Linked DNA regions of Drosophila melanogaster. The protein of the gene in region 2 purifies or fractionates together with the protein of the main gene of each other region. This does not show direct contact. Each region holds a gene or a part of one and is shown on either strand. Other genes may lie near its edges. The genes, in order: spartin, Rab18 and Zw10.

The links.
Region 1: the proteins of Rab18 (region 2) and spartin purify together in Drosophila melanogaster (affinity purification with western blotting; one study listed by BioGRID). This does not show direct contact.
Region 3: the proteins of Rab18 (region 2) and Zw10 purify together in Drosophila melanogaster (affinity purification with western blotting; one study listed by BioGRID). This does not show direct contact.

Annotation. Positions count from the first base shown.
Region 1 is NT_033777.3:4,652,949-4,658,754, forward strand, and holds spartin (spartin), read left to right. Parts: upstream 1-1,851; 5' UTR 1,852-2,131; intron 2,132-2,210; exon of another isoform or gene 2,211-2,322; intron 2,323-2,569; 5' UTR 2,570-2,584; coding exon 2,585-3,707; intron 3,708-3,954; coding exon 3,955-4,261; intron 4,262-4,632; coding exon 4,633-4,864; 3' UTR 4,865-5,037; downstream 5,038-5,806. Other genes in the region: Karybeta3 (karyopherin beta 3), read left to right, coding at 1-388, 504-1,141. UniProt on the Drosophila melanogaster protein: During postembryonic development, functions with endocytic adapter Eps-15 in neurons to restrain synaptic growth, by inhibiting BMP signaling, and to control synaptic endocytosis. Required presynaptically for neuromuscular junction (NMJ) neurotransmission.
Region 2 is NC_004354.4:5,670,301-5,673,992, forward strand, and holds Rab18 (Rab18), read right to left. Parts: upstream 1,513-3,692; 5' UTR 1,362-1,512; coding exon 1,303-1,361; intron 1,214-1,302; coding exon 781-1,213; intron 717-780; coding exon 615-716; 3' UTR 527-614; downstream 1-526. Other genes in the region: RpL35 (ribosomal protein L35), read left to right, coding at 2,220-2,222, 2,698-2,834, 2,917-3,148; Tre1 (trapped in endoderm 1), read right to left, coding at 3,666-3,692.
Region 3 is NC_004354.4:2,602,326-2,607,735, forward strand, and holds Zw10 (Zeste-white 10), read left to right. Parts: upstream 1-1,871; 5' UTR 1,872-1,977; coding exon 1,978-3,327; intron 3,328-3,388; coding exon 3,389-4,204; 3' UTR 4,205-4,499; downstream 4,500-5,410. Other genes in the region: Klp3A (Kinesin-like protein at 3A), read right to left, coding at 1-297, 369-520, 594-1,273; Smyd3 (SET and MYND domain containing, class 3), read right to left, coding at 4,501-4,871, 4,937-5,399. UniProt on the Drosophila melanogaster protein: Essential component of the mitotic checkpoint, which prevents cells from prematurely exiting mitosis. Required for the assembly of the dynein-dynactin, Mad2 complexes and spindly/CG15415 onto kinetochores.

The DNA.
Region 1 (5,806 bases), on a different chromosome or scaffold from region 2:
GACGTGCAGTCGGAGCTGCTGAATTCGCTGGCAAAATGCATTGAGACATTGGGTCCGAATTGCCTTAACGAGGATGCCATGAAACAAGTTCTCGAGATTATAAACAAGTATGTTCTGGAGCATTTCGAGCGTGCTGACAAGCGTTTGGCGGCTCGCAATGAGGAAGACTACGACGACGGTGTGGAGGAGGAGCTGGCCGAGCAGGACGACACAGATGTTTACATCCTTTCCAAAATCGTGGACATTACACACGCCCTTTTCCAGACCAACAAGGCTCAGTTCTTACCCGCCTTTGAACAGGTGGCTCCGCACTTTGTCAAGCTACTGGAGCCCAGCCGACCTGTAGCTGATCGGCAGTGGGGCTTATGCGTGTTCGATGATCTGATCGGTGAGTTGGTTTTCTTAATTGAGTTTTGCAGTTCAATAGTACCGCCGATACCTTCAAACATCAAATCATTTGTGCCACCATAAAACTAAAGACTTGTATTCTCATTTACCTACAGAATTTTGTGGCCCCGCTTGTGCTCCATACCAGCAGATCTTTACGCCAGCCCTCGTCCAGTACGTGTGCGATAAGGCCCCAGAAGTGCGCCAGGCGGCTGCCTACGGATGCGGGGTGCTCGGCCAATTCGCTGGTGAGCAGTTTGCGCATACATGCGCCCAGATCATTCCACTGCTGGTGCAGGTCATCAACGATCCCAAAGCCCGCGAAATCGAGAACATCAGTCCGACAGAGAATGCGATCTCGGCGTTTGCTAAGATCCTCAAGTACAACAACTCGGCGCTGAGCAACGTGGACGAGCTGATCGGTGTTTGGTTCTCATGGCTGCCGGTGTCCGAGGATTCGGAAGAAGCCGCCCACATCTATGGCTACCTATGCGACTTGATTGAAGGCAACCATCCGGTCATTCTTGGGGCAAACAACGGCAATCTGCCGCGCATTGTCTCCATCATCGCTGAATCCTTCTGCACCAAGGTGGTTGAGGCGCAGTCCGCCACCGGCACTCGTATGCTCACTATCGTCAAACAAGTGGAATCGAATCCGGAGGTAATGGCTGCTTGTGCCAGCACCTTGAGCCCGGAACAGCAGCAGGCGCTGCAGGATGCCTACCGGGAGCTGGCAAACGTGGCTCCCGCCTAAGATATCGCAATCCCAATCCTCTTCAGACCAAGTCCATTCATGTCGACCAAGCCAAGAAAGGAACGATGGATGCTTCAGCTACTCGTTATCATTATTTTTCATCTTACCGAAATTTTGAAGTATATGTTTAACACATAGATATCCATTTATACAGATATACATTTATGTGTACAATAGAGTTATCCGGGTATATAATTCTATACATATTGTGATTTTAATCAAAACTCTTCTCCCGAAGACAAAAGTCTGCCTCGTTAGAATTTGATATGTTGTATGGATGCGATCCAAATGCCATCCCAATCACACCCAAATTCCAATAGAATATTTTCGTTACTCAAATTTTCATATGTTTAATACATATGTGTGTATATACGGCCCTAACGGCCGCCTCTCCCTGCGGGGAAAACAGGATGTAAACGTTGTCCGAATCGAACGAAATATAATTTTGTGCATTCAAACCAGGATCGACAAATATATTTAAAGGAATAACATTTATTGTATTTTAAACATGATAAAAACGAAATAAATAACAAGTAAATCGATATTTTAATTGCCACGAGCTTATGTTTTAGTATTGCTTTTTATTATTAACCATTCATTCAATTTCAAATTCGATTCCCGCAAAAGACTTTTCAAAAGTCGTTGTGGCAACTCTGTCTGTGGCAGTGAACATGCAGAGGCCTCCTAAACAGCTGATCTGATTCGCAATGGAAAGTAAGCAAATCAAAACAAAGATGGAAAAACTTGGAACATTCAACTCGAATGGAAAACACACATTTTAACATGTTATTTACGAATTTAAGTGATATTAGGCAAACGATATTCTCACTTTAAAGGTGTGCGACTAAACAGGAGCAGAAAATAATTCGTAAAATTAGTGAGAAAATAGCGAAAGAGAGCGTTTCTCTGTTTGCTTTCTAAATCATTAGGTGACTTGGTGGGCAAAGTGCAGATTAAACGCTCAGAATCAGACGAAACCAAAACCCAAAGGTGAGTGAGTGCAACAGGTAGACGGTGAGTGCAGCGGAAGGGCGGATGCGGTTTCGTTGGCCACAGTTCAATTTAGAGCAGCTGCAGGAGAAGATGTAAAAGCGCGTCATTCCCACTTTGGTGACGCATTTTGGTCACCCTTTTAGTTGGTCGCGGTTGCCCGCCTCGTCGGGATGTATCTCTGCCAGCAAGTTCGTTTACAATATCTTAAATCTCACGAATATTAACAAAATATGTAGTAATTTGCACTATAAGACTTACACAGAACTTTGCGAAAGGGGGATTCATAAGAATAAAGACAGCACATAGAACATGTATACTAACTAAACCATAAATAACCATAGTCATTGACTTTAATAGATTCTTAGTTCTACATACTAAAGTTTTGAGGGCTTTGGTTTTTTGTATAGTATCTAATGTTTCTGTGCTGTTTCTTAGGTATTAAAGGCCGCGATGGCGGAGGAGGAAAGCGAATTCCTGGAGGCCTATGCTGGCATCAGAACAGCCTACAAAGCGGCCATGACTCAGGTGGACCTGGCCGTAAGTCACGAGGAGCAGGAATCCCCCGGCCAGGCCATTGTGGCCTATGAGCTGGCCCTGCGTATGATAGAGGACACCTTCGGCATTCCAGTAGGTCTTCCCAACAAGATCGACACCGTGCAGGCGGAGTGGAACGACGCCTGTGCGCTGATCCAAAAGCTCAAGAGCGCCGAAACGGAATTGAGATACCGCCTCAAAGTTCTGCGATCCCAGAAACAATCCATTGATGATTCAGCCGTGGAGGCCACGGAGGAAAGTCGAGCAGAGATGGATACAAAAAGGCCGCCGTTGCTGGCGGAAAACCCCTCCACGCAATATGGCATAGCCAATGCTAGCGGAGCACCAAAAACCTACAGAGAGCTCGCTGCCGGCTTGCGGGAGCTCTTGGCTGTTCGGGACGCCAAAGTCTTGCTCGATGAGCTCTTCCGTGCACAGGTCAAAATGTACCGAATCGAAGCCAGTGGATCAGTAACCACCATAAGCGGCTCGTCAACTATGTCATTGGTAATGTGCACCGTGGGTGGCAAATGGAAGTACCTCAGTGGCATCTACTTCATTCAGTGCTCCATGCCAAATGAGGGGACTGCAGGGATTTGGCTTTACCCCCTGGTTCCCTCGATCACAAACTGCTACCAAACAGAGTACGGAGCCTTTATTTTTCCTGATATGGAGTGCCAGCAGCCGGGCAATGCATTTGGTTTGATGCTAACGAAGGAGGGCCAGACATCGCGCACGGAGGACGAACTGGAGGATCTTCAGCAGTTCTTTCTTGACCTGTTGGAGGCCGTACTCGCTGGCACGGTAGTGCAGCTGAAATCGCCGACCTCCCAACGTGCTGGCCTAGCTTCAGATACCGTTTCCGGGTCGGAGCAGGTGTCCAGACACATTGTAAGTGCGGCTGATTTCATTGCTAGTAACCTGGTACGGGGCGCCGAGAAGACAGGAGGCTTTATGCTTAGGAGTACTCCGTATATCATTTCCAAGATGACGCCAGCCTCGATGGATGCTCAGGTGCCCAGCTCCGTCCAAACTTCAGGTGAGTTAGTTCCAAATAGGGAAGAGCTGTATTTAGGGCGGAAGTATGGTAGCTTCCGAATGAGCATGTAACGATAAAATTAGAAGATAAGATTCGAAGTCGAAGATGTGATCGTCACTACACTTCCACCTCGATCGGAGTTTGTGCTTGTGTTTGATAATCATGTTAATCAATGGTTTGGAAATGTGCAGATTACATATAAGATAGATCTAATGTATCTTATGTTGTAACCTTTTGTTCATTATAGTTGAGGTGGCCCAAAAAGTGACGCACGCCGCAGCCGGAATGACAGGATGGATAGCTGGAAAGGTGGGCACTGCTTCAATGGCAGTCGGCCGCTACCTGGCTCCCCACATTCAGGAGCAAGGCTCTAAACTGCTGCAGAAGGGATTTGGCTACGACACCAGCGAGGCTAATAGCACCATGGAGGGCGCCATGACCATCGCGGCAGGAGCCGTGGAAGGAGTGAGCACCGTATTCGATGGCCTCGAGACTTCCGCCAAGATCCTAGGCTCCAGCCTCAGTGAAAACTCCGTCAAGATAATCGAACACAAGTGGGTTGGCTTTGGCTTCTTAATGCTTATGCAGTTTTGTAACAGATGTCATTACGAATTTTCGTCCGAATTGAAAGTAATCACTTAGGCTGGCAACGGTTTATTCAATTTAAATATATCTGAGATTTAAGTTATGCGCAATGTGCAGAGGATCGCAAAAATGATCAAGGATCGGGAAATGTTACTCAAGCTTGCACACAAAGAAAAGTTTTATAACTTGTTGTGAATCGTCTCAAATATGTAATGCTACTAAAGGTCTACTAAGATCTAGATATTCATTTTGGGTTTCTTTCGCCTTCGAAAAAGAAAAACATATAGTGCGGGCATTTTTAATATTTCATATATTTACATATATTTATTTGCTATTTCAGATATGGCCAGCAGACGGGGAATCTGGCTAGTGGCACCTTTGACACGGTGGGCAACGTTTTCGTGGTCAGTCAGAACGTGAACTACATAACCCCGAAGGGCATTGCCAAGAAAATGGTCAAACGAACAGGAGAAGCTGTGGTCAGTGACTACAAGCGAGACTTACGCAAATCGGAATCTCATTATATTAATGCCGGATCTCTTTATCCGGATCTTCGAGCTTTGAAGGAATAGCGGGAAAACCAAAGGAATTTATCACATGTTATTATTATTATTATTATTATTATTATTATTATTATTATTATTATTATTATTATTATTATTATTATTATATTGAAATATTTATATGCCATTTATAGCTTCTAATTAAAAGAAAAAATATAAATAAATATTATGTTCAATAACACATAAAAAAGATATTTCGAAAGATTTTGCATCAAAACCTTATTTTAGTGTTCAAAAATGCTTTACTTTTGTATTTGTAGATAAACCGAAGCTAGAAAGTATTAAAAAGAAAAATGTTTAATTCACTTTGTATATTTGTATAACCTAAATTCTAGCTTCCTAGCACTCCAACCGCTAAGTATCGGGTATCTTTTGTTTTTAAATTAAAATGTCCTGATTTTTGATACACAACTCAGTCCTCTTTCACTAATTTAAAAGAATTAACAATTTTAGCAAGGAATTTAGTATGAACGTACCATGTAAATTGTGAACAAATGTTGATCTAAGTATCTTTAGATTGACGATCAATAAAAAGCCGTCTAATTTAGCGGCTTTAAATCCTCGTAAGTACTGTCATAGCTTCCGATCGCCTGAAGTTACAGACTTTTGAATCTTATATTGTTGAAAAGGTTATGTTATTTGCATTATTTCCTAACCATTTCCTAAGACTCTATATAGCTATCTTATTCCTTATTCTTTTTTCCTATCTTAAAAAGCACTCTGATCAAGCAAAAACTTTGCGGAACGAGTCAAATTTTATATAAACAAGTTAGGAATTTATATAACGAGCGATGAACCCCACATATATACTTTGGCGAAATATGGTAAAACTTCACGTTTTGTTTTATACACGAGATATAGAATGTGATATTCTATAGGTCCTAAGTGTCATATATCAAGGAGCCCATATATTTAGTTAGGGTTCAGCTCCCGAATCAGAACATAACATAA
Region 2 (3,692 bases):
GCGTGCTCCGGGAATTGTTGCGGCCAAATGTCCAGCTTTGTTTTCTAAGCATCCGTCGCGTGCAAGGGATTTACAAGAAATTGATGAATAGCGAGCGAGCCAATCGTGAAGAACAGCTTCATTGATTTCTAAATCCACCTTGTTAGCGTTAATTAATAAATATTAATCATCGATAATTGTAAATATAAACCGAACTCACTTATAAATTTACACCACCAGATGCAATAGAAATAAAAAAAATCGCATAGCCCATGTACATTTCAGTTGGTCACTAATCCAATTCTCCACTTTATTTGTTGCGTTTGTGAACGCAAATGGAAAACTATCATCATGTCAATAAAATAATGAAAAGAAAATGCTGAACTTGACTTTTGACTGGTCGCAGACGAAATGCAAGCAGATGGACAATAAGCCGTACAGGAATATTAGAAGGATAGAATTTAAAAAGGATTCTGACTGATCTGCAAACCCTGCAAGCTAAGTGAATCGATAGCCCTGCTCAGATTGGAGTACACGATTGAACGTTAAGGTTGATTGACTTTATGCTAGTGATATTGAAACGATTAAATAAATACACGATATAAATTTGACAAAAGCACGCATAACATTCGAAATCAACAGTAACACGTAGACGCGCTTGCCTCCAGATCCCGATCGCTGGCGATGTCCAGACCGGCGGAGGCATTGCCATTGTTGAAGTATTCGGAGGAGACGATCTGCAAAGCGGATGTGGATAATTGGAAACACGAATGCCAAGTATTTGGTTGGTAGCTAGCTCACCTTCTCCACCACATCTTTGAACACATCGCTGACGAACTGATCGCATTTGGCTGAGGTCTCGATGAAGAGCGCCCTGTGCTTCCTGGCAAACTTTCGACCCTCCTCGCGATCCACAACTCGCTCCTCGTCGATCTTGTTGCCTACCACAATGATGGCAATGTTGGGATTGTCGCTGTAGCTATCCAGTTCAGCCAGCCAGGTTTCCAGCTTGACCAGGCTGTCCCTGCTGGTGATGTCGTACACTAGAATGGCGCCCAGAGCCTTCCGATAGAAACTGGGCGTCAGGCTGCGGAATCTCTCGGCGCCCGCCGTATCCCACAGGGCCACCTTGTAGTCTATGCCGTCCACCTGCATCACTTTGCTCTTGAAGTCCATGCCAATCGTGACGTCATGGTTCTGGTCGAACTTGTTCTCCACGAAGCGACGTATCAAACTATGATGAAATGATAATGAAAGTTGATGAGTGATGCAAGCTTTTGGTAATATACGCAGTGGAATTGCTCCATGGACTTGGGACTGCACCTGGACTTGCCCACGCCGCTTTCCCCGATCACCAGCAGCTTGATAGCCCGATCAGCCATTGTGTGGTTTGAGCTCCGCTTAATGCTTATCACTACTGTTATTTACTTAAAACGATAAGAATATTGCCAATTGTATTATTTATGTAGATTATCTGGAGTAAGTGAGTGCGGCGTTGCCACCTTGCTGCTTTGTTTACATTCTCACGATAGAGATGGACCACTGTAACAGCAGCCTTGCCAGACCGCCACTTCGATCTAGTGGTGACCTGTGGCCGTAATCTGGCTACTTTTTTGCACACACATTTAGCTTCTTAAAATAATTTAATTCCACCCTTTTAACAAAACCGATCGGGTCTTGACTTAGGAGGACTAACTATATTTAAAAAAATAATTCTGTTGTTACTACCATAATAAACGCGCAATGAAAACTAAAACACGTTAAGCAGATCAAATTTTGTTGCCACATAGGTAACAGTGCGTTCCTTATATTGTTGTATAAAAATTAATTAAAAAAAAAAAATTAATTATAAAAAATAATTATAAAATATCATAAATTTAGGATTCCTTCTGCGCTCAAAATAGTTGGTGTTATAATTATTTTATATAAACGTTTAAATTATATAAGAAATAATTTTCCTCGAAAAATAATTCCGAAACGCGTAATGTCTTAATTTTATAGCTCTCTAAAATGGTATTATTTAGCTTTTCATTGGCATTAGCAAAATAAAAAAGTAAATATTGTGATTGAATATTTTTGCAATCGTAGTAATTTGATTTATCTATTTTAATGACGGACTCGGAACCGGTTCGATATCAGCGTTGCCACTGGTTCGACGCTCGAAGTTACAATAGTGCCACCACCAACTAGTTCTTTCCTCCAAGTCCCATCTTTCTTTTTTGACGTGACCAGCGAGAAAAATGGTTGGTATTTTGTGAGCGAAAAGATTTCTAACCTATTTTACAACGAAACGAACAATTAAAAGCCAAAGTAATGGCTAAAACGCGCCCCAAATTACTGCCGTTCATGGTGTTAACACAAAATGCGATTAATAATGCAGTACCACGCTAGTTGAGACGCGCAACGCTAGCACACTATTTTGTGCTCACCCCTAGCACCTCTGCTTCTTCTTCTTTCCTTTTCTTTTCGCCGCGTTTCCGGAGAGGTTGCGTTAAGCCACGTGCTGAATTTCTTAATTTGCTGGTTTAGTGAATACGGAAAATTCGTTGGTTTTTTTGTTCTGTGCTGAGTGTTAAAGAGCAGAGCTAGAAAAATGGTTGGTTGGTTACACCCATCGACACCCGATGCTCTCAGCCCAAGGGCCAATGAACATGCCATTTGCAGTGCAGCGATACTAATGTTCTTGTTTTCTGCCCGTTTGTTTGTGCTCCCGTCCAGGTGAAGGTTAAGTGCTCCGAGCTGAGGATCAAGGACAAGAAGGAACTCACCAAGCAATTGGATGAGCTCAAGAATGAGTTGCTCAGCCTGCGCGTGGCCAAGGTGACCGGCGGAGCTCCCTCCAAGCTCTCCAAGATGTGAGTATGCCGCGGCACAACGACAAGCGTCACGAACTAATTCCGGTGTTTTGTGCATTTATGTGCGTTCTTATCCATACAGCCGCGTTGTCCGCAAGGCCATCGCTCGCGTCTACATTGTGATGCACCAGAAGCAGAAGGAGAATCTGCGCAAGGTCTTCAAGAACAAGAAGTACAAGCCCCTGGATCTGCGCAAGAAGAAGACCCGCGCTATCCGCAAGGCCCTGTCTCCGCGCGACGCCAACCGCAAGACCCTCAAGGAGATCCGCAAGCGCTCCGTCTTCCCCCAGAGGAAGTTCGCCGTCAAGGCCTAGAATGCATCCAGATACTCCGACTGTCTATAGTGCGCGTTAAGGGTTCTTCGGTACAATGAAGAAGAAAAACTAAATAAAATCTTTTTTTTAAAGTGAAAATAGCGATGCGTGTTTGATTTTGTGACCGAAAAAACGCGAGTGGCACATGGCTTTGGCCATGGGTTCATGGAAATTAGTTAAAAAACAAAAAAACAAGTGCCGCATTCCCTGTTCTACATATGTTAGTCGGATCCAATGGGATCTACTTAACTACTTGTGGTCCTTAAGATCATTATAGAGCAAAAACGTTGAGTTAGCGCCTTGTAGAAGTAATGGCAAATCTTAAGTTCAATCTTTAATTCAGCCTTCTTTGAATATGCAAACTTGAAAAACACCAGAATTCTCAATTGGTCTACGTATATGTATTTAATTCGATTGTCTTTGATGTAAGCACGGCCATACATCGTAAATAATTATGAACTAACAAGTAATAAGTAGGTAATTGATATGAATTACAAGCTCTCGACTGCGAGCTCGATCATACTGAATATGTTTGGCACATTTG
Region 3 (5,410 bases), 3.1 Mb from region 2:
CGCTAATTAAGGAACTGCTCATCTTGCCGCCCGACAATAGCTCTACACGCAGCTTTTGGATGACGTCCTTCAGCATATTAACCTCCGCCGCATGCGGATCGAGATTGACCACTGGCTTGTTTTTGATTTGCAGTGCTCGATCCGCATAGCGTAGGGTGCTCAATGTCTCGGCCACGTTGTAGTCGGCGGGACTGACGCAAGCAATCATCAGCGTAATGGAATTACCGCCCAGGGAGTCCTGCAGCAGACGCGTCAGCTTGGACTGGCGATAGGGTATGTAGCCAGCGGCCTGGCCAGCTGCAATTTATATGGAATATATAAAAATGGAGATCAATTTTCAAGCCAGTGGCTAAATGATAGATACTCACATCCCAGGGCATTGATCACGTTGCCCAGGGCCAGAAGACCCTTATTGATGTTCACACCCTCTTTGAACCGATCGCCGCTGGCTAGGGTCTTTGAGCAGCGTTCAGAACCAGCCAGATCCACCAGGTTGAACCTGGACGTGGTAACGGATTGCCTATCGGAGATTGGAGGTCAAATGTGTATAAGCATTAAGTATTCTAACGAGGTGATGGCGGCCCACAACATACTTGCCGTCCAGCTTGGTGGCTACTAGCGTCAATGTGAATATGGCATGGGATCTTGAAGAGGTTTCATTCATAGCCGTGGCGGCCACAGCCCGTCCGGCTGAGCCGCGGATCAGATGATCGGTCACTTGCTGGGCGGATGTGACCACTAGCTCGGTGAGGCCCGGCATGATAATACGGTTCTTGACCTCCCTGATGTCTACGGTGGCCTTGTCCCGAGTTTTCGACGAAAAAAGGTCATAGAACTGCTCCTGGTAGAGCTCCACAAAAGAGCATGTGACAGCAAAACGAAATTCGCTCTGCATTTCCGCAATGGCTGTGAATATATCATGAACGGCGCGTGGTATAACGCCCACATGGTCATCTAACACTCCGTTGAAGGCGGTGCCCATAGTGTAGGTCTTTCCGGAACCCGTTTGTCCATATGCCAAGATTGTTACGTTATAGCCATTTAACAGCTTTTTCACTTTGGCCTGTACACACGTCTCGAATAGATCCTTTTGCGAGTCGTCAATGTCGAAGACATAGTTGTACGTATACGACTCATTCCGGTTGACTGTAACCTGTGGCGCTCCATCCGCCGATCGTTCGACGGCAATCCGGCAGCCGCGATCCAACTCGGACTGCACCAAGGGGCGCACGCGCAAGGCCACTGCCACACAGCTGGGATCCTCGCTGGACATCTGGGGGTAGGGGGAGGGAAGGACAATCATAACATTCCATCACCTTTACCGCCATCTCGACCAACACCACCAACCACTTACCTTCTCTGGGGCACAGCAAGTCCGACTTTGGTTAACTGATCAACTGGTTAGCACTTACAAAAACTTAGAATTTTGGTTGGTCTAGATTTTGGAGCAACGCGGCTTCTCCACGCGCAGCCCGGCACTCTCAATGAATTCGATTTTTGGATCAAGGAACTAAACTAATGAAACGCGACGCTAAGAAGCAAATGCATTTCTGCCAGTATTTTTAAAAATGGCGTTGTTATCGATTCGTTGCAGATGTCGATTAGTGGCGCGATCGACGGAGGTGCCGGTGTAGAAAGATTTCGATTTTTTTATAATTTGGCTCTTGAATAGCACATTTGCAAAAATGTGGTTGGACGATTTGTGCACGCCGATTTGACAAAATGAATCATTGACAGTGTATCTACATACTTATACATAAAAATAAAAGCTACCTAGATCTACAACTATTTTAGCTACTGCCAGTGATAAGAGCCCAATTCTTGTCAACTAGCCAATTCGCCGATAGCCGATAGCAGACAGCCGCACATATCTATCGCTTTTTTGAACAATCGTTGGTAGCAACAGGGAATTGCAGAAACCAGTTGTCTTGGGTTTCGCAAGAATTGGAAAAGGAGGATCTGGTCAAAGAGCAGGACATGGAGGAAGAGGCGCCGCGGTTCAATGTGCTGGAGGAGGCGTTCAACGGCAATGGGAACGGGTGCGCCAACGTGGAGGCCACCCAATCGGCCATATTAAAAGTGCTGACGCGCGTTAATCGCTTCCAGATGCGCGTCCGCAAGCACATCGAAGACAACTACACGGAGTTTTTGCCCAACAACACGTCGCCGGACATATTTCTGGAGGAGTCGGGGTCCTTGAATCGCGAGATTCACGACATGCTCGAGAACTTGGGTTCCGAGGGACTGGACGCCTTGGACGAGGCGAATGTCAAGATGGCGGGTAACGGCAGGCAGCTGCGAGAGATCCTTTTGGGTCTGGGTGTCAGCGAGCATGTGCTAAGGATCGACGAGCTGTTCCAGTGCGTGGAGGAGGCCAAGGCCACCAAGGATTACTTGGTGTTACTGGACCTTGTCGGTCGTTTGAGGGCTTTCATCTATGGCGATGATTCCGTTGACGGGGACGCGCAGGTGGCCACGCCAGAGGTTCGACGCATCTTTAAGGCTCTCGAGTGCTACGAGACCATCAAGGTGAAATACCATGTACAGGCATATATGCTGCAGCAGAGCCTCCAGGAGCGCTTCGATCGCCTGGTGCAGCTGCAGTGCAAATCCTTTCCCACATCGCGTTGCGTCACCTTGCAGGTGAGCCGGGATCAAACGCAGCTGCAGGATATTGTGCAGGCTCTCTTCCAGGAGCCCTACAATCCGGCGCGCCTCTGCGAATTCCTGCTGGACAATTGCATAGAACCGGTGATCATGCGCCCAGTGATGGCCGATTACAGCGAAGAAGCCGATGGTGGCACCTACGTTCGATTGTCGCTTTCCTACGCCACCAAGGAGCCCAGCTCAGCGCAGCTTCGCCCGAACTACAAGCAGGTCTTGGAGAACCTCAGGCTGCTGCTGCACACGCTGGCCGGGATCAACTGCAGTGTGTCCAGGGACCAACATGTTTTTGGCATTATTGGCGATCATGTGAAGGATAAAATGCTGAAATTACTGGTGGACGAGTGCCTGATACCAGCTGTGCCCGAAAGCACGGAGGAGTATCAGACATCCACGCTGTGTGAGGATGTCGCCCAGCTGGAGCAGCTGCTTGTAGACTCATTCATCATCAATCCCGAGCAAGATCGAGCCCTAGGGCAGTTTGTAGAGAAGTACGAGACCTACTACCGCAATCGGATGTATCGTCGAGTTCTGGAAACGGCGCGGGAGATCATCCAGCGCGATCTGCAGGACATGGTGCTGGTGGCGCCCAACAACCACTCAGCCGAAGTGGCAAACGATCCCTTCCTCTTCCCACGCTGCATGATCTCGAAAAGTGCTCAGGTAAGTCGTTCGCTAAACGAAACGATTGATTACGCACTAATGGATTCATTTTCGCCGGCAGGACTTTGTCAAACTAATGGACCGCATTCTTCGCCAGCCCACGGATAAACTGGGCGACCAAGAGGCCGATCCCATAGCCGGCGTCATTTCCATCATGCTGCACACCTACATCAATGAGGTGCCCAAGGTGCACCGCAAGCTGCTCGAGAGCATTCCACAGCAGGCCGTCCTGTTCCACAACAATTGTATGTTCTTCACACACTGGGTAGCGCAGCATGCGAACAAGGGCATCGAAAGCTTGGCGGCGCTGGCCAAGACACTGCAGGCCACCGGTCAGCAGCATTTCCGCGTGCAGGTCGACTACCAATCCTCCATCCTGATGGGCATCATGCAGGAGTTCGAGTTCGAGAGCACGCACACGCTGGGCTCTGGTCCACTGAAGCTGGTGCGTCAGTGCCTTCGCCAGCTGGAGCTGCTGAAGAACGTGTGGGCCAATGTGCTCCCGGAGACCGTGTACAATGCAACCTTCTGCGAGCTAATCAACACATTTGTCGCCGAGCTAATCCGTCGAGTGTTCACGCTGCGCGACATTTCCGCACAGATGGCCTGTGAGCTGAGCGATCTCATTGACGTGGTGCTCCAGCGGGCGCCCACGCTTTTCCGCGAACCAAACGAGGTGGTCCAGGTGCTCTCTTGGCTTAAGCTGCAGCAACTGAAGGCCATGCTGAACGCGTCGCTCATGGAGATCACAGAGCTGTGGGGCGACGGCGTCGGCCCGCTGACCGCCAGCTACAAGTCGGATGAGATAAAGCACCTAATCAGGGCGTTGTTCCAGGATACGGATTGGCGGGCCAAGGCCATTACGCAGATTGTATAGGGCGCGTGCGCCTTTTTTGCGAGCGAGGAATGTTGAACGGCGGATAGACATCACATTTGAGGTGGTAAACGGAGTCTAAATTTGATGATCACCATCAATGTGTCCTTACTTTAATTCCTTGAATTGTTTACCACAAATGCCAAAAGTAATAGAATTTGATAATCTTTAATTCTCCGAATGGTTTCTGTTGTACATAGAAAAGTAATTATCCACAAAAATCCATTCCATTCTTCCCGCAACGCAACACAATATTTAACTTAAGACTTATTTAAATGAATAAAAACAACTAAATCCCATTAGTGCGCCTCTTGTCGCGCTTGTAGAACGAGCATGTATAGCTGCTCAGTAAGCAGTCTGTGATCTCGGCCGTGGGTGACGGTTAGGATGCGTTGGGCCTCCTCCAGATGGTGCAGTGCCTCCTTGGAATGGCCCTCGTAGAGCTGAATCTTGCCCAGCTTCATGTGAAGCAGGCCCAATAGCGGATTCCAGGGTCCGTGGTATTTTCGAAAGCCTGGCAGCAAACGTTGCCCGTAATCCAGGGCGTCGCTCCACTTGCCCACTTCGATGGCTGCTTCGAAGGCCGCATCGAGCGTCTTGACGTACCACACATTCAGGGGATGGAACACGCCAGTCTGCTTGTCCAGACACACCTTGCACACATCGAGATCTGTGATCGAGAGAGTGAAAATGTGCTTATTATGGAGCTAATTCCATTTCGTCGCATCTACTCACAGGCCACGTCCTTCATGTTCTCCAGATTGTGCCGGGTCAGAGTCATCGCCTCGTTGAAGGCATTTCTCAACTTGGGACTGATGCCGGCATCGCATCGCGGGCAATTATTGCGGTCCACACTGATTCCCGCACCGCAGTTGCGATTGGGACACAGGGCAGCCAGCATCTCCTTCGATTCCTTGGCATCCGTGCACTTGCTGCACACGCATAGGAAGTAGTAGTGCTCCTTGAGGTCCAGACGCCTCTGCTCCGGCGTATTGAGCAGGTCGATGTAGCTGATGAAGATTTTCGACCAGTCCAGGCATTCCATGTCCTCGATCGCGTGGACGTGCAGCTCGTTGCCCTCGAAGGTGGCGACCGCATTTGGCTGGCAGCTATGGTCCGTAATCGAGACGCCCAGATATATGGCCGTGGCAATTGAGTTCATCTCGGCGTCCAAGATATTGAAGCCATTGGTGATCAGCTGCAAAGAGC